2 linked regions of the Ovis aries genome follow. The protein of the gene in region 1 interacts with the protein of each later gene in a biochemical or structural test. Links are inferred from orthologs where the notes say so. Each region holds a gene or a part of one and is shown on either strand. Other genes may lie near its edges.

Region 1 (9,879 bases):
ACCCCAAAGCCTGTCCCCCCTCCTGGCCCCAACTTTCGATTCTTTCGGTCCTTCTTTCGAGGAGGCTGGGAGAGGTCCCCCTGGGAAAGGGGCACTGGGGTGAGAGCAGCAGGGGGCCGGGAGGCATGTGTCAGGGACGTGGGGGACAGTGGAGATGCCATTTTGGGCCCATCTAGATCAAAGAGGGAGTCCTTGAGTTTCATCTTCTCCAGCAGAGTGGCACTGTCAGGGGCCTGCAGACGAGGGAAAGTGGACCTTGGGGGTCCTGGCTGGGTGGGACCTGCTTGAGCCGCCCTTCTCTTGGATGACTTTGCTTTCTTAACAAAGGTCTGGATGGTTCTGAGATCTGAGGGGGCTGAGTCCCAGCCGTCGCTATCTGCCGCACTCTCACCTCGCAATGGAGAGCTGGAGCCAGAGGCTGGCCAGTCACTTTCCTTAAAGGACAGAAAAGACCAGGGTCAAAGGGGGCCCAGCCTTATCTCAGCTCCTCTACATACCAAACTTAACAGATGAAAATATCCTTCCAAAACCACCAAATCTCACTAAATTCAGAAAATTTATTACCATCCCCATTCTCCTCAGCATCTCCTCTTGAACACTTCCATGTAACCTCTGCCCTCAAATTCTCACCATCTCCCCAACACCCACTGCCTTCACAACACTGCGTCCCCTAGACCAGAGCAGTATTTCTTCAGCTGTTTCTGTGCTTCATTTGTTACTATCTTCAGCTTCCTAACACTTATCCCAGAGGACCTTCCATTAAGAACACCCCAAAACCATTCACTGCACTCAAGCCACCTGTTAATCCCACTCCCACCCCAGATACTAGTTCTCCCACCAGAATTTCCATTTCCTTAAGTCTTTCACATGTAATTTTGAGGCTTTGTATATAAAGTAACAAAGTCTGGTAAGCTCAAGAGCTCCTCTACAGCCCTAGGACACCACCCTCCAGTCAGTTGTCCTTCTGTCCCTACCTCCTTGCTAGGGGGGATGTAACCTGCATAGGCCAAAACAAAACTGCAAAATTTGTTGAAATCCTCAATTGTCCTCCGACGTTTCTCTGGTGGCTGAAAGAAAATCACACAGAGTTTAAGAGGGGCATCTCCAAAGGCATAGTCCCCAGAGTGAGGAATCAGGAAAAGGTGGAGGGAGAGAGGAGAGGCCCAGGCGGGGGGGGGGGGGGGGGGTGGGGGTGGGGGCGCGGCTGCAATAATATTGGGCTGCAAAGGAATGGGAAACCCTCACCTGAGTCTCTGGTTTAAGGGTCGGAGGTGGATCTGTAAAAGCAATAAAAGCTGAGTCAAGGCACTAGGAAAGAGTCGGTGTGAAACCCCACCTCTCAACCTTCGCGGTCCCAAGTGAACCTCCTCCACTCCCAGGTCCTTCAGCCAGGCGAGCAAGCCCCCAGCGGTGCTGGGCCCGCCCCTGCTCCCCCTTCCGCCCCGCGAGGGGCGGAGCCTGGGCGCGGCGCCCTCTCAGGCCTCGCTATAGCGCTCCCCTCCCCCCCAACCAGAGGCCTGGCGCCCCGCCCCCCCAACTCACGGTTTCTCTAGACTCCGAGCTCCTCGGCTCTCTCCGCGCCCCACCCCGCCATACCGCTCCCTGGACCGAGCCCGGGCTGCCGCCTGCCCCTGTCCTTCACACGCGCTCAGTGCCCCGAGTTCCCACCCCGCCGCGCTCTACCGCCCGGGGCCCTCCGCGCCCGCACACGCCGCCCGCCGGCCCCCAGGGTCCAGGATGACCACGCCGAACCGCTCCCCGCCCTCCGGCCCCTTCTACTCGAGCACGAGGCCCGGCGCGCCCCCCCCCCCCCCCACCCCCAAACACACACGGGCTCACACATCCAACGCCACTTCGCGGCCGGGACAGACCAGAGAGCTCTCACCCGGACGCGGCCCCACCTGCCCCCCCATGCTCCCCACAATTTCGGCGTCCCTCCGCCCCCATCCGGGGCTTTGGCCCCTCCCCGTCTCAAGCTCCTCGGGCTCCCCGCCGGGCCCCCGGGCCCAGTTCCGAGCTCTCTTCGGCCGCCGCCCCCCCTCCGCCCCCGGACTCGCCACCAAGTCACTAAGACTACGGACCCCTAAACTCTAGCCCCCACCCCAGCTACTCTGCCCGCCCAGCAACCCCAGCTGCCGCCGCCGTTGCCCCCCTCACCCTCCGCAACTCCCAGGCTCTAACCCTCGCCGACCAAAACCCCCCTCCGGCGCAACTCGCCGGCCTTAAACCCCCACCCCGCCCCACCGCCCCCAAAACTACCCTGCTCTCGTCGCTCCCCAGCTCCCTCTCCCCACAGCTACCCACCGGCATAAGTCCCTCTACCGCAGACAATGCCCAGGCCCCCTCTTCTCCCCACAACTATCTGCCCACCCCTCCAACAATCACCGGGCTACCTCCGGCGGCAACTACCGGGAGCTCCGGCACCACCGCCACAAACTCCCCCACCTCGGCGAACTACCGAGCTCCTCACTCAATCGTCTCCTACATCCTCTCTCCTCAACAACTCTACGGCTCCCAGATTCCCCTAACCTCTCAGTTCTAGGGCCCCAACCTGCCGGAGGCCCTTTCGGCCCCTAACCCTCGAAGCTCTGGTTTCCAGCTCCCACTCCCCCATCCCACCCCACCCCCTCTACACACACACAGCGTCTAATCTCCAACTACCCCCGGCCCAGTCTCGCACTCCTCTTTCCTCCAAGGTCTCTCAACTCGTCACTCTCCCACCTTCAGGGGCAGGCCCCCGACCCCCTCCCCGCTCTCCCCTGCTGGACTCCGGGGCTCGACCTCCAAGTTTGCCAATAGATTCCTCGCCCGCCCCCCGCCGGCTCAGCGCCCTGTGCCGGTCGAGAGCTCACCTTCGGGACTGGGCTCCGCCATGGCTTCCAGCATCGCCCCCTACCCTCCTCCCGGTTCGGCGCCCCCCTCCCCTGAGCCGGGGATCCCGGTGCCGCCTCCGGTGCTCGGTGCTCCTACTGCCTCGCTCCACAGAGGTGTCTCTTTCGGCTCGGTAGTGACTCGAGTCCGCTAGCCGCTGCCGCCACCTCCCTCTACCACAGCCTCCCGCACTCCCGGACCGGGCCCCCTCCCCCCGCGCCGCCGGCCGCCTGCTCCCTCCTCCTCTCCACCCTCCCTCCTTCTCTCTCCCCCTCCCTTCGCGGGTGCTAACGCGCAATGCATCAAGGGGATTGTAGTCAGTCCGCCGTGAGCGAGAAGGGGCCTGTATAAGCATCCGGAACTCCAATTCCCAGCAAACCACGGACTGGGCGCAGGCGCACTAAACTGCTCTCCTCCCCCGGGGAGTGGCGGGGAGATTGGGAGCAGAGGGGAGGGCGGAAGAGTACGCGCAGGCTCCTGGGATATGTAGGCTAGGCGGCGCCAAGAAAGAACGGGAAGAAGGGATAAGAACTCTCGGCCACCATACTGCCTCAATTCTGCAGCTTTCTATCTCCGTGGGGACCACCCCACTTCCGGCCAGTTAGAGAAAGGCTGCTGGGAGATGAAGTTCTCCTGGTGATAATGGCTCCCTCCTCCCAGTTTTCTCCCTCCCTTGGATTCCACTCCACTGGATCCCTCACGCCGGGCAAAGCGACATACATCTGACAACGGAGCCCTTTCACTAGCTCCCATACTCGAAAATCTCTTCCTTAATCCAGAAAGTTACGACACAGTTGGATGTTTTATCTGAAGAAGGTGCTTTCAAACTTTATCCACAGGAACCCACTGTAAAAAACTTTAATAACCTCAGGACCCAACCCATATACACGTATATAAAACTGAACTTTCATGAAATGATATTCAGTATTCCATCCCTCATAACAAAAGCACACTCTTAATATACACAAGGAAAAGCCGAACATAAGCAGAACAAACCAAAATATACTATTCCCTCTAACCTACTCTTTTCCCACCACTTGAAGAGAACAAAAGGGGGAGGGGAACAACACAAAGAAAAAATCCAGTTCAGCTTGGTGGTGGTTTCCTCTTTATTGATGTGCCTCCTACCTTCCCCCACAATTTCAGTCCCTTCCATCTACCCCCCAAAAAGAAGGTAGTGAAAAGAAAGGATTGTTGGGGCTCTGAGCCCCTTGGGCAGTTAGAAAGGGAACAGAAACCAAAACAATCACCAGATGTGACAGAGATTGACAATCAAGAAATCTAAAGCAGAATGGGAAAGGTGGTAAAGAAAGGGGAAGAAAGAAAGGAGAGGTATTAGAGGCCATCTCCCCCATTAACCCTTGTGTTAAGAGGGTCTGTAGGAGAGTCTCAAACATTAGGAAGTGCAGGTCCTGAAGAAGGGAGGTGGTGTTTGAACCTCAAGGAGGAGTAGGTCAAGGAAGGGGGGCCACCTCTCTCTTTGTAGAATGGGACCCCCCACCTTAGGGGCAGCAGCTTCACAGACCGTAGACACTTTCATCACTGTAGGCAATGTATAGAAAGAAGTCTTCTTCATGGTGTTCCTGGGATGAAGACAGAAAACAACAGCGTTCAGGCATCAGAGTTTTAGTTACTTGAACCACCCACCACTGGGACATATTCTTCCACAACCATTCTTTTTGAAGACCCCAAACACCAGTGCTTTGACTCTCCCTCTCACTTGCTCCAGACCATAAGTGCTGGGCAGTATTATCCTATCCACAGTCTTGGACAATAAGATCTCAAACTACTCTCTACTGCCTTGGAACACGGAATGGCTGGAGGGGAGTCTGGACCACAGCGGTTACTCTGGTTCACTGCCCTGTCCAAATCCCTAACCCAGAACGATGCGGAAATCTTAAGGGTGAATATAAAATTGAGAGCTAAGTAAGCCAGCTGGTCCAAGAACTGCTGACTTCAAACTTTCTGCCTCTCAAGCGCTTCCAACTCCTCCCCAAAGCCTCCTCTACTTCCCAGGCACCATACCTGGTACAGCTGACCCATCGTGGCACTGGTGGGCGGAATGACGTTGTTGACGAAGAAAAACAAGGCATCCTCTGCTCGGAGATGAATTCGCTTCCGGATTAAGAAGTAGAACTGGCCAACTGCCAAGATACAAGGCTTAATAAAAGTCAGAGATCACAAATACCCTCAAAAGAACACCTGCTATGTGGAGTCTCCTCCATCAGAGACTGTACTCCCACCCCCAGGAAACAAATCTGAGTACTGGGTCAGGTTCCCACCTGTAAGATCAGAAGGCACCAGGTATTTCTTTTTGTCCAGGTCTCCTATTCGAGCTTTAGGAGCCTTTTCTACTATCACCTGTTAAAAAGAAGATAAAAATTAGCAGACACTAGGTACACAGACGCACAGCTCCACCTGTCAAGAATTCAACATTCCTAGCACCCACACGTACCCCAGACTCATTTCTCTTTGTCTCTTAACACGCGGCGCAGCCCTGAATAGGAATTCTGACCCCATTGACTCTAATTCACCTAAACATCCAGGATCCCTGAATACGGCGTCATAAAAACAATTACGTTAATCAGACGAGGATGACTTATTCGGGCCAACCAGAGCTTCAATTTCAAAAACCTTATGGGAAGCTCAGACTGTCAAACGCCCCGCAGCCTCCCACGGGAACCCCAAGGTCTGTCTCTCGAGTCTACATCTTCTCACTTTCAGCTCTACTGGTACCCCATTCCTTTCACCTCCGGTCCCAGAAACAGCGGGTTGGGGCTCGTTCCCAACGCCGCCACAACCGGCAGCCTGATGCCTGCGCTGTGGGTCCCGGACTCAAGCCCAGGCTGTGGCGTCAGCGCCAGCGCCCCGCGCCCTCGGCCCTGGCTACTGTCCTCACCGGGACCCGGTCCGGGTATTTCTTTCGGATCTTTTCGCCCTCAGAGCGGCGCTTCTCGAACGGATGCTCCTCTTTATACACGAACTTCATCCTCCCGGGAACCGGGCTGGACCGGGCTGGGCTGAGGGAACCCGGGGGGGGCCGGGACGGGGGGCGGCGGCGACGGCAGCGACGCGCGGGCGGATTCAGCGGAGCGATCCCCGGACTTGCGCCACTTCCCTATTCACCAACCCCGCCCCCAGCCAACAGGGGCCTCCCAGGCTGCTATGTTACGCCACTGACGTAACTGCCCTAACGCCAGTAGCGTAGCACCACCTACTGACCTCCTCTCTCACGCCCTCAGCGTAATCGCTTTGGAATCAATTTGTAAATTACGCAGGCGGCGTAGAAAAGATGGTTGCCTTTTGCTATCGTCGGAAATAACTGAAAATCCATTTCCCGACTTTCCCCACAGGGAGGTAACGATGATAAGGGCTAAAAGATGGTAATCGTAATTTGAGACTTGGCTCTCCGAAAGCTCTTTTCGGAAGTAATGCAGAGGAAAGGCAGATAATTAAAGGATAGCTATTCACGAAATCTGTTGGTACGCTGAAGGCGGCCGTTGACACCAAAACAAAGTAGTACCCAAGTGGAGGAAGAGGTCGCTGGAAATAAGAGGGCAGAAACGAAACCTGTTTGGAGAGACGCACTGGACGCTTAAGTTCCAATAATGAGTGGACCAATAGGGACTGGAGAGGAGGTCTAAAAGGTAAGGACTACGTCAGCGCGGAAGAACACCGCTGCTGTGTCCGCGAAAATCATGTGATCTCAAAGGGCGGAGCGTCACGTGGCAGGCGCGAGGAAGTAGAGCCGGCTTGGGCTTTGGGAGGAGGGCCCCGGGGAGGTGGGGACGTGGGGCCGGGTCAGCCAGGGGGCTGGGGAGCCCGCCGCTCGAAGGAAGCGCCTGCCTAGCTAGTACATGCCAGTCTTCCAGACGAAGCCCAGCCTTTCTTGTCGTCGAGGTTTCTACTCCTTTAATACTTCGTCCTACTGCACTGAAGCTCAGGTTCTCTCAGGACACACAGCTGTCTCTTCACTCCCCACCAGGGTGCCCATCCTGTCACTAAGACCCTTCCTGCCAGGGAAAGCCAACACTATCCTTCCCCCTACACTTAGGGTCTACAGCAGGCTCTTCTCTCTCTGCCTAGTGAACAGGGTGGATATGAACAAAAACCCCTCCCTCGTTTCCCCAAACCCCAGAGAAGGACCTAGGGCAGCTTTGGTTTCAAAGTTATAATGCATGGTTTAAAAGAGAGGAAAGGAAAAAAGAGAAAGCTGGTTACAGATCTGAGGGAATCTAGGAGGAAGGGCAAATAGAGGGAAAGTAAAGGAGGGGACAAGTTTGGGGGAAGTCCAGTGGCCCAAAATCCCAGTTTCCCACCCACAGCCCAGCCCTTGGAGTGAAGAATTAGATCAGTTTTGTACAAGAGTTTTTAAAAAATCAAATCACAACAAAGCTGGCTTGGCTTCTCTTTTGAGCCTCCCGGATTACCGAATGTCTGTCTCACTCTGGCCAGTTGTGTCTCTCCACCAGACACTGTTGCGGCTCTCCTAGGTCTCCGCTTATGTCCCAGTCTGGGGTTTCCAGGAGTGCGAACACGAAGTTAGAGTGAGGCTGCTTCAGAATCTGGCCCTTGTGTCCATCCAGACTCCGTAGGGAGTGCAAGGCTCCCAGGGCAGAGAGGGGTGGGAGGGGCAGACCCTGCCCAGACAGTCCTCACCGTTGGACAGGGCATCAGACGGCATCCCGAGGGCTCACCCTCCCCTTCCCCCCCACCCCAACTCAGGTGGAGGGGGAGCAGCTGTCACCAGAGCCTATGTTGGTGAAGGTTTCGGCTCAGCACAGAACGAACATCAGCGGTGAACCTGGGACGACAATAACTTGCATTGGTAGAGTCCTCATGGGGACAGCCTCCTCACACTAATGTAAAGCAGCCTCACTGAAGACGTGGGACAGAAAGAACCACCATTTTCTCATGAGGCTGAGGTTCAGTTTGCCCAAAACCCAATGGCTAAAGGTGAGGAGTTTAGACCTAGGTTCAAAAATTATATTCTTAGGGAAAAGAGATAAGGAAGTAAAACAGGACAAACTTTTATTCCTTCTTGGGATCCCCTACCACTCTTCTTCTCAGAAATCTAAGTGTCTAGCTTCCCTTACCTGAGGGCATCCAGCATTGGAAGCAGGTTGAGAAGGGCGGTATCACTGGGATCACTGAACCAGGATTTGATGGGGATGGCATTGTCTAGGGTGGGTGAAAAGGCACATGAGAATAAAGGGTTCAAGAGAGAAAGGGTGTTTTCCCTTTTATTTGGGGGCGGTTACTTTAAAATACATAACCTCCCTCCCAAACTCAATGACCTAAGTAAAACCTTCTGTATTTATTTTCCAAAACGAAATTAAATTTTAATCACCATATCTCATACTAGGGTAAGGCTTCTAGTCAAACTTGTGCCTTGTGTCTTACCTAAAGCAAATTTTATATGAAAAATCTGATTTATGAAACATATTGGGGGGGAGGCAGGGAACACTCTCATATGAAAAAAACAGCTTGCATCCTGACCTACTGTAAACCAGGGAATCCCAGCCCCATGCATTCAAAATACCTCCTTAGAACCACTTTCTAGTCCTGCCAGACTCACTGCCTTCTCCCTTACCTGGATGGCTCCTGTAAGCCCCTGGCGAGTTATCCAGGATCACAATGCTGGAGAGGTCACTGTGGACCACAGAGAGGTCCTTGATGTAGCTGCCCAATTCCAAAGTGCAGTGCTGGAAGGCAGGGTGGGCTGGGCATCAAAAGGAGACTCCGCCCTCTGTGATTGCTCCCCCAATCCCAACAATGCCCACAGGCAGCCAGTTCCCACAAAAGGGGATTATGTAGTACCCACACACACACCCTTAGAAGGTCCCATTCCAGAACTACCTTATGACCCAGCAATCCCACTGCTGGGCATACACACCGAGGAAACCAGAATTGAAAGAGACACATGTACCCCAATGTTCATCGCAGCACTGTTTATAATAGCCAGGACATGGAAACAACCTAGATGTCCATCAGCAGATGAATGGATAAGAAAGCTGTGGTACATATACACAATGGAGTATTACTCAGCCGTTAAAAAGAATTCATTTGAATCAGTTCTGATGAGATGGATGAAACTGGAGCCGATTATACAGAGTGAAGTAAGCCAGAAAGAAAAACACCAATACAGTATACTAACACATATATATGGAATTTAGGAAGATGGCAATGACGACCCTGTATGCAAGACAGGGAAAGAGACACAGATGTGTATAACGGACTTTTGGACTCAGAGGGAGAGGGAGAGGGTGGGATGATTTGGGAGAATGACATTCTAACATGTATACTATCATGTGAATTGAATCGCCAGTCTATGTCTGACGCAGGATGCAGCATGCTTCGGGCTGGTGCATGGGGATGACCCAGAAAGATGTTATGGGGAGGGAGGTGGGAGGGGGGTTCATGTTTGGGAATGCAAGTAAGAATTAAAGATTTTAAAATTAAAAATATATATATATATTGAACCAAAATTAAAACTAAAAAAAAAAAAAAAAAAAAAAAAGGAAGGTCCCATTCCTGGGCAGTTGCCTCAAACTGAAGCCCCTCCCTGATGGCCTGCCTCCCCAGCCTCATTCTTAGGCTTAGATTCTAGTCCCTTACCTGTCTGTAGTATCTCCTCTTGAGAATGCTTCTGCTATTATCCAGTTTATCTGCCACAGCAGAGCCATAAATCTCCATGCTTGCTGTGAACACCACCAACTCGTACCACTGGCTCACCTGAAATAGATTAGACAAGAGGAAGCTGTCAGAAGAGGTGATTGTTCATTTGGACATACAGTTCCCTTTTACTAAGACTCCAGTGAAGACCTTCAGGCTTTTCAGCAACACTGCATGTCTCTGAGGACACAAAATTTTGAAACTGTCCTTAAGACTCCAAGTTTTAGGCATCATACCCCCTTAAGATTCACAGATGCAAGAACAAGGTAGCAGAAAGGCCATGCAAAAATAGAACTGCATCAGCATAATAAATGAACTCTAACTATGGAAAGC
Region 2 (8,476 bases), on another chromosome or scaffold:
AGCTCCACCAGCTCAGGACCAGCAGTCTCCACACTCGGCCCGGAGGGCGCCTCGTCTCACAACACAGACCCGCAAGGGGAACCTCGGGATCCTCGTCTATGAAGCTCACAGGCCTCCTGAGCTATAAGGAGCCCGACTTCGCAAAGAATGCCAGTCTCCAGATGCTTGGGTAGTGACTCTGATTTGAAGTAAGAGAACACAGTAGAAGCAAGACACGTGCCATCCACTTTGAGAAAGAAGGCTTTTAGAAACATTTTTTTCTACCCAGTCACCTCTTCCTCCCAAGGGTGTCCCTGATCACACCAGGAAGAGAAAACACAAAGTCCACAAATAGAATGGCAATTCTATTTTTAAATGTTTCAATTTAATGTTATTAACATGATTGAAAAATAGCAAACTGTGCTCAATACACTTAGCCAGATGACTTGGTCTCAACTGCACAGTAACTCAAGCAGGGAAGAGCACGAAAGCACACACCATGAGAACTCTTTAGAGCTCAGTGTAACGTACCACACTTCAAAGACGTTTTCCCAACGTGTATATTTCTGGGAGATTATATTTTATAAATACGTGTTATGCTTTGTAAACATGTGTTATGTATGCTTTTAAAACAAAACCAAAAGAAGGGTCTTCCCTTCTTTTCTTCCATACGAACATGCTTATGTTTAAAATCACAAGTTTGCAAGTAGTTATTTTCAAATCCCAAATAGTTTATATGAAAATGCTGGCACTGGAAGGACTGATGCTGAAGCTCCAATATTTTGGCCACCTGACGCAAAGAGCCGACTCATTAGAAAAGAGCCTGATGCTGGGAAAGACTGAAGGCAGGAGAGGGGATGACAGAGGATGCGATGGTTGGATGGCACCACCGACTCGATGGACATGACTTTCAGCAAGATCCGAGAGTTGCTGATGGACGGGGAAGCCTGGCTTGATGCAGTCCCTGGGGCCAGAAAGAGTGGGACACGGCTGAACAGCAACAGTTCTCAATGAAAAGATGAAGCAAGGGAAGGAGATAGATGGAAGGAAAGAAAAGCTGGAACTTTAGGGGCACCAGGACACTGCCCAGGGCACCCCAGTGAACACACCGGAGAGAAGGGGCTCCAGCCGGCCCTCAGTGAGCCTGACTGCCCTCCTCATCCCCTGCGCGTTACACCAACACGCGGGTTTCCATCATACACAAACCCTGCAGCCCGGGAACACCCACAGGATAGGACCAGGTGCATCACCAGCAACTCACGTTCTGCTGCTTCCATCACCAACCACCTACCTGTCAGACACAGGCAAAGCCCAAAGATGAAGCACAAGACACCAACCCTGTCCTCAAGGAGCCGACAGCATGTCAAGTCCAGTGCCAACCAGAGCAGGCTGTGAGGACGGGCCTGGGGTCTGGCCTGCCACCCGCAGCCCGGCAGCAGCCCTGGGCCTCCAGCCCCGCCTCCCCTCCCACTCAGGCCCTTAGAGCCCTTGCCCAAACCAGCCGCACACACTTCTACCTCCAGCCCAGGCCTCCGCTCTCAGCTCCAGGCCCGCAGACCCGAGGCTCCTTGGACGACACAGCACAGACGTCTAGCAGGTGCCTCACTCTCGCCCCCTGCAAGACCCACCTCCTAACATCTCCCTAGCAAGTGCGGCTCCCCAGGTCTCCCCGCGCGCATGTCCCAGCTCAAGCCACAGACCGCGGCACTTCAAACCCCTCTCAACACGTGGCTGGCCCTCACACTTCCCACCACCACTGTCCTCCTTGCCCCGACCTGCAGAGGTACCAGATCCCAACCCCCTCTCCCTGCGAGGACCCGGGGCTCCAGGCCCGCGCCTGGCTCACTGCGGCGGCCTCCTGACGGGCCTCCTGCTCCTCTACAGCAGAGCAGCCAGTGCAAGCCGCGCTGCTCCTTGAAAAGGCCCCTGAAGCAGCCCCGTCCCACTCACATGCCACGAGCCAGCAAGTCCAACGACCAGACCCTCTCGCTGCCCCGCCTTCAGTTCGCTCACCCCCACCCACTGCGCCCTGGCCACTGGCGGAGCAGGCCACAGGCCCTTCCCCCTGCACCGCTTTTGAGTCCCAGTCAAAACTGGCTGCCTCTGTGGTGAGATCTTTCCAGGCCATTCTGGTGATTCCAACTCCCTCCTGCTGGGGCCACAGCACTCTCCCACGAGCCACTCCGTGGGTGTCACGTCTAACACGTCAGTCAGCACACACTTTTTGTCTACTTCGTTCACGTCTCTAGTCCCAAGATGTAGAACAATGCCGGACACAAACGCACACTCAGTAATAAACACAGCTATTGAACAGATGACTGTAAAAACCACCAGAACTGCATAATGTTTGGCCAGGAAGGCGGAACCTGTAAGGACTCCAGGAATCAGGGCAGGCTGGACATTAATGATCCCAAAGGACGCACAGCGTCAGGTCAGAAAGAAAACTGACCCACACACCCTAGACGTTTCTGTCAGCATCAGCAAAGGCCTTCACGTGCAAACAGCTCTGCTTTGAAGCAGGGATCAGGGTTCCATGGAGCCTCCATCATGTGGCTGCTCTTAACTTGAACAGGACGGCTTCCACGTTTAAGGTAAAATGACCACCATAACACTGTGCTCTCCACCCTAACCGAGTCTCTCAAGGGATGGTCTTAGTAAGTAAGTAATTCTATTCCTTCCCCCATCCAGGGGAGTAGTCCTTTTTGTTTTAAACAGCTTCACAACACATCTGGTTAACATCACATTTTGGGAATCATGGCTACCATCTCCTACTACTACCTAACACGTTGAACTAACAAGATGCCACAAATCACTGAAATATTGGCCATAAAGGTTTATATCACAGCTTCCAAGTTGACAGTCCAGTAAATGCCCATTGAAGCTGCTGTCCAGGAAGAAAAAATGAAGCAAAAACAATGTCATCCAGGATAACAGGGGGAATTAAGCCAGAGGAGAGTCTGTACCGTTGGGAAGGTTCTTAACACAGATCACTTCCTACAGATTTTATAAAAAGAGTAACCCTGCTGTGAGATGGAAAAAGAAGGCCTTTCAAGGTGTAAGAATGCTTTCAAGGATACCGGACAAAAATCCCCAACAGCGTGCCAGCAAAAATTAAAGAAGTGTCCCCTCCGCAGCAGAAACACAATGAAAACAGACGGAAACAGCGCACAGAGAGACACGGATGCGCACACACCCCCCCAACCCAGTCCCACACATTCTGCATTGCTGTAAGCAAGCTCCCAAGAAGTTGAGACACGATGAGGCGGAGTCCGTCTGTCCTTTCAATCAAGGGGAACGCTGGGGTCATTTATTAGTTACTGAATTTGAAGAAGAAAACATCCCTGCGTTGTGAGTACTGAAGTATGCCGCTCGCCTGCAGCCTTTAACTTCGTGAGAGTTGAAGTTTCCCCTTCTCAACTCCGGGCGGGGGGGGGGGGGGACAAAAGCTTCCCGCCGCCGCGTCAGAGACCGGCTTCGCCTGCCCCGCCGCGCCGCCCGGCGCCCCCGCCCGCGCCCCGCGCCGCCCCTGCTCGTCCCGGCCGCCGTCGGGCCCCCGGGAGCGGCCGCCGGGGCGCCAGACACGCCGACCCTGGCAGGGCTGTCAGCGCCTCGCCGGCCGCCCGCGCCGCCTCAGGGCCGCGCCCCGCCCCGCGCCGCGCCCGCGAGGCCCCAGCCCAGGCGCCGGCGCGCAGCCGCTCGGCGAGGGCCTCCCCGGCGGACCCGCGCGCCGCCGGCCCTCACCTGCGTCCATCTTCGCTCCAGGGCCGCCGACTGAGCGCGGCGTCGCTCCGACGGCCCCGCAGCGCGACGCGACGGGCCGCCGCCCGGGCCAATCCGGGTCGCGCGGCGCGGGCGCGGGCGGGGCCGGAAGTGCGCGGCCGGAACTGCGCGGCCGCGGCGCCGCCGCCATCTTGGCGTACGGCGCGCCCGGCGCGGCGGCCCGGGCCCGCGCGCGCGGCCTCCCGGCGGCCTGCGTCGCGCCCCCGGGGATCCCCGCGGCGATTCCCCGCGGCCGCGGAGGCCGGCGCCAGGGAGCCGCAGGGCGCCGGGGCGGGCGGCGGGCCGGCAGCGCGCGCGCGCCCGCCGGGGCGGCCATCTTGCCGTACGGACGCGCCCCGGGCGCCATGTGGCGGGCGGGCGCGGCGGGCCCGGGGCGCCGCCCCCGCCACCCCCGGCCCCGCGCGTCTCGGGCGGCGCCCCTCCTGGCGCCGGGGCCCTCGGGCGCGCCGAGAGCCGGGCCGGGCGGCCGGGCGGCGGGCGGGCGGGCGCCGCCATCTTGCCGTACGGCGGGGGCCGCGGGGCCGGCTCCCACGTCCCGCAGCCGTGTCGCCGCGCGCCCTCCCCTCGGGGCGGTCCCGCTCGGGGCTCGGCGCGGCTAGACGAGGGCCGGAGCCTGGCGGCGGCCCGAGGCCCGAGATGGTGATCTGCTGCGCGGCCGCGAACTGCTCCAACCGGCAGGGCAAGGGGGAGAAGCGCGCCGTCTCTTTCCACAGGTAAGCGGGCTCCGCCTGCCGCCGCCGGTCCGCCGCCCGCGCGGCCCGCCGGCCACGCCCCCGCCCGGCCCGGCCCGGCCCGGCCCGACCCGACCCGGCCCGGCCCTGCGGGGCGAGCGGTGCGGCGCGGCCCGGCCGGACGCTGGGGCGCTCGGGGCGCCGGCCCCGCGAGTGAGTCAGCGCGGCGCTGTGTGACCTTGGCCCGCCGGCGTCTCTGGGCCGGGCTCCTCGGGCCACCGCGGCCCCCGGAGCCCGCGACCCTCGGGCGGTCGTAGGCCGCCGGGTGCCCTGAGCCGCCGGGGCTCGGGCTGCCGCCGCCAGGCTCCGGAGACGGGGCGCGCGGGGGACGCGCTTCCTCCGCGCGGCCGTGCTCTCGCGCCCGCGGTCACTTTGCTGCCGTTTCGGTCGCGGGGAGCCCGCCTGGACCTCTGGATCGGGACGAGGCCGAGCGAACGCACCCCGCGCCCCGGGGACTGACGCGCCCCGGGGCGCTGTGTCCTGGGGGTCCCCCGGACGGCCCCGGGTCCCGGGGGGCGCCCGGCCGCGTGCTGCCGGCCCGGCCCGCCCCCGCCGGGGCGCCGCTGCGAGTCGTGGCGCCGCGGAGGGTGGCCCGGAACGGGGTGGGGGTCGGCCTTCTCTCTGGCCTGGCCCGCACCAGGAAGGCGCTGGGACTCAGCCCTCTTCAAAAGCGAGTGGTTTTCTGCGACCTCCCCGCCTGCAGTATCAGAACGTGAGCAGAAGAACCTCTGTCCGAACAGCCTCCCGCCGCAGACTTTTCTCTTTGCTGTTTCAGGGGGATGTTTAAGTTTCCAATACCTGCACGAAGGCTCTTTAGAATCTCACTGGAAGTTGAAGTTGGTTAGCGCTAAGTCTCAAATCGTCACAGTCTGCTAAGATATAATAGGTTATTGCAGATGCCAGCTCCCTGGTTTCTCACGTTCCCTCCGGAGCCAGTAGTTTTCTCACCTGGGAACTGGGGGTGGGGCGAGAGTCTTAGGGTAATGGGCTCCCAAAGCAACGAGGAAATTTAGAAGGTCGGAGTGGTTGGGACTTGCTGAGGAGGTGGTATTCCAGCAGCCCACCCCCACTCGCCGCCGGGCCTGGTCCCCCAGCGCTCCGGTGGGTTAGGCGGCCTCAGATGTGGCGAACAGCCGTCCAGAGTGGGCGCACCACCCCCACACGTGCGCGTGCAGTTCCACTAGAGTTTTCTAAACAGAGATCTTGCTTGAATGAAGAAAGAAAAGTTAGGTATTTTATTCAGTATCTTCCGGGGGCTGGTTGCTCTTTAAAGGGAGTGGTCTTACTCCTGGTGGTGGACGTCTGTCGGGAGCGCAGGCGCCCCCTCTTAGAGCTGTCTCACACCCTCGGCCCCGTGAGCGGCAGCTGGGGCACCTTGGGGTGGAGTGCCCTCCTGGCCTCTTGCCCCCATCTCTGTTGGCTGACTCCGGACCTGGCTTTTAAGTGGGGGGGCGGGGTGCCTGTGGGCAGCCATCCTTCCTCCTCTTGGCGCCTAGAGTCCTGCATCCCAGTTCACCGTGAGGGCTGGCCTGCTGCGAGCTTCCAGGAACTACTTCCGGGAGCCTTCCTGCTGTCGCGATGCCTTCGGCTCTGTCTCTCCCAGCACTCTGCCCTTGCACGTTATTTACCGCAGCCTAGGAGGAGGTATTCGCCTTCGCCTCTGATTTGCCCATGGACTCTAGCTTCTTAAGGGTAGGCAGTGTGAGTCTCATCTTTCTGTTCCACTAATAAGTTGCAAGTACAAGGTGTTCCTTAGATCTTTGCTAAGTTTGTAAATGGGAAAGTCAGTACAGGTCTGGGTATTTGTAAAGACTGTTATTCTCCTGTTACAGTTGATAGTATTAGGGGAGGCTTTTTAATTATTTTTTCGTAATTTTCTATTTGTCCTGCAGATTCCCCCTAAAGGACTCAAAGCGGCTGATGCAGTGGCTGAAGGCTGTTCAGAGGGATAACTGGACCCCCACCAAGTACTCTTTCCTCTGCAGTGAGCACTTCACCAAAGACAGCTTCTCCAAGAGACTGGAGGACCAGCACCGCCTGCTCAAGCCCACGGCCGTGCCGTCCATCTTCCACCTGGCGGAGAAGAAAAGGGGGGCTGGAGGCCATGGCCGCCCCCGGAGAAGGGACACCGGGAGGGCCTCGGCGGGTCTGAGGGCACAGGCGAGTGACACCGCGGTAGGGAAGGCAGCTGCAGGGGCACCGTCGTCCTCAAGCGCAAGCCCAATGGCCAAGCCAGAGCCCCGCAGGCTGAAGCGGGCCGTACCGCAGGGCCGAACCGCGGCCAGGGTCGCCCGGGAGACCGCTGGTCAGGAGTGGTCGCGGCAGCCTCCGGAAGGACGCGCGGAGGACGGTCCGGCCTCCACCGCCACCTCCAGCAGCCAGGGAGAAGCCGGCACAGGGGCCGTGGATGCTGGCGACGAGGGCGCCAACCCCGCCGACGGCGGCCAGGTGGACAGGAGCGGCGTTTCCGCGGACGACTTCACGCCCCCGGGCTCCGGGGCCTGCAAGTTCATCGGCTCGCTTCACTCCTATAGCTTCTCCTCCAAGCATGCCCGAGAGAAGCCGGCCGTGCCCCGGGAGCCTGTGGAGCGGAAGCGGCTGAGGAGAGACGCCGAGCCCAGCCACAGCGGGAGTAGCCCCGGGCCCGAGAAGGGGCCGGCACAGAGCCCTCTGCGCGCCTGCCCCCCCGCGAGCTCGTCGCTCACGGCCACACCGCAGAAGCCAGCCCAGGGCGCCTCGGCGCCTCCCACCGACGTGACCCCGAAGCCGGCGGCCGAGGCCGTCCAGAGCGAGCACAGCGACGCCAGCCCCATGTCCATCAACGAGGTCATCCTGTCGGCGTCGGGCGCCTGCAAGCTCATCGACTCACTGCACTCCTACTGCTTCTCCTCCCGCCAGAGCAAGAGCCAAGTGTGCTGCCTGCGGGAGCAGGTGGAGAAGAAGAACGGCGAGCTGCGGACCCTGCGCCAGAGGGTCAGCCGCTCGGACAGCCAGGTGCGCGAGCTGCGCCAGAAGCTGGACCAGCTGCGGAGGCTGAGCCTGCCTCACCTGAGCAGCCTGCTGCCCCCTGGCCGCGGTCAGTACCCGAGCCCCGGCCCAGGGGCCCCCGTGTGCTGTCTCCAGGCCCCGCTGGAGGGATGGGAGCCGGGGCGGCGGCTGTAGCTGAGGGTTTTAGGCAGCGCGGAAGGAGGTGCGGGAGACCCAGGGTGGCGGGAGGGCCCTGGCCAGGGAGGCCCTTCCGGTGCACACTGCAGGCAGAGTCCTGGGGAATTAGGTCTGAGTGTAAGTTAAGACAGCTCAACCTGCTAGAGATGAGAAGAGAGTCTAAATCAGAGGGAGGTCCTTCACGGTTGCATTGTGATGGCTATCCCTGACATCAGGTAGTTTCGAATGTTAATACTAACCTTGAAATTGCAAACGCCTACTGAAGTAGAGTGCGTTCTAGTAGGAACACTGCGGAAACTCAGAAATTTGTAACCCAAGAAACGGTGAAGACTCCACTTTCCCATGTGGGCTTCCCAGACGGCTAGACTAGTTTTTATGCTTTTATTTATGTATTTTTGTATCTATACCAATAGCTTGGATATATATTTTATATGTTATCACTTTTGTTTCTGCTTCCCCTCCTAGTTTACTGTTTGTTTCTTGGAAAATTTGTTCTGAGGATAGTCTCTCTTGCCCGTTAAGTAGATGAAGGTGGAAACCATTTTCCTCCCACGTTGTGCATTTAGTCTGAATCCGCCTTTGTCTTCCAGGTTGTAATTAATTGCAGGTGAGGAAAGGCTGGCGTGTGACACAGGGTCTTCACGGTTTCCTGGACTAAACCCCGCCCCCCCCACCACCGCCCACCCAGATCAACAACCAAAAATGAGCAAAACCCAAACCCATCCTGATGTACTGGTCAGAGTCACACACTACATTCTCTCCTAGTGTTTTACAGCGGTTTTGTACTTTCTCGTACCTAGTAACTGCTTTCTGGCACTTTT

The links. The genes of interacting proteins can lie anywhere in the genome.
Region 2: the proteins of GABARAP (region 1) and ATG4B form a complex in vitro, tested with the Homo sapiens proteins (3 studies listed by BioGRID and IntAct, with this or other methods). The link is inferred for Ovis aries from reciprocal best matches to the Homo sapiens genes GABARAP and ATG4B.

Annotation. Positions count from the first base shown.
Region 1 is NC_056064.1:26,840,356-26,850,234, forward strand, and holds GABARAP (gamma-aminobutyric acid receptor-associated protein), read right to left. Parts: upstream 5,992-9,879; 5' UTR 5,861-5,991; coding exon 5,771-5,860; intron 5,233-5,770; coding exon 5,154-5,232; intron 5,016-5,153; coding exon 4,897-5,015; intron 4,455-4,896; coding exon 4,389-4,454; 3' UTR 3,963-4,388; downstream 1-3,962. Other genes in the region: PHF23 (PHD finger protein 23), read right to left, coding at 1-434, 975-1,067, 1,246-1,277, 2,853-2,886; CTDNEP1 (CTD nuclear envelope phosphatase 1), read right to left, coding at 7,615-7,675, 7,968-8,052, 8,465-8,576, 9,490-9,606. UniProt on the Homo sapiens protein: Ubiquitin-like modifier that plays a role in intracellular transport of GABA(A) receptors and its interaction with the cytoskeleton.
Region 2 is NC_056054.1:283,833-292,308, forward strand, and holds the start of ATG4B (cysteine protease ATG4B), read right to left. Parts: upstream 4,121-8,476; 5' UTR 4,106-4,120; coding exon 3,721-4,105; intron 1-3,720. Other genes in the region: peroxynitrite isomerase THAP4, read left to right, coding at 4,396-4,472, 6,383-7,566. UniProt on the Homo sapiens protein: Cysteine protease that plays a key role in autophagy by mediating both proteolytic activation and delipidation of ATG8 family proteins. Required for canonical autophagy (macroautophagy), non-canonical autophagy as well as for mitophagy.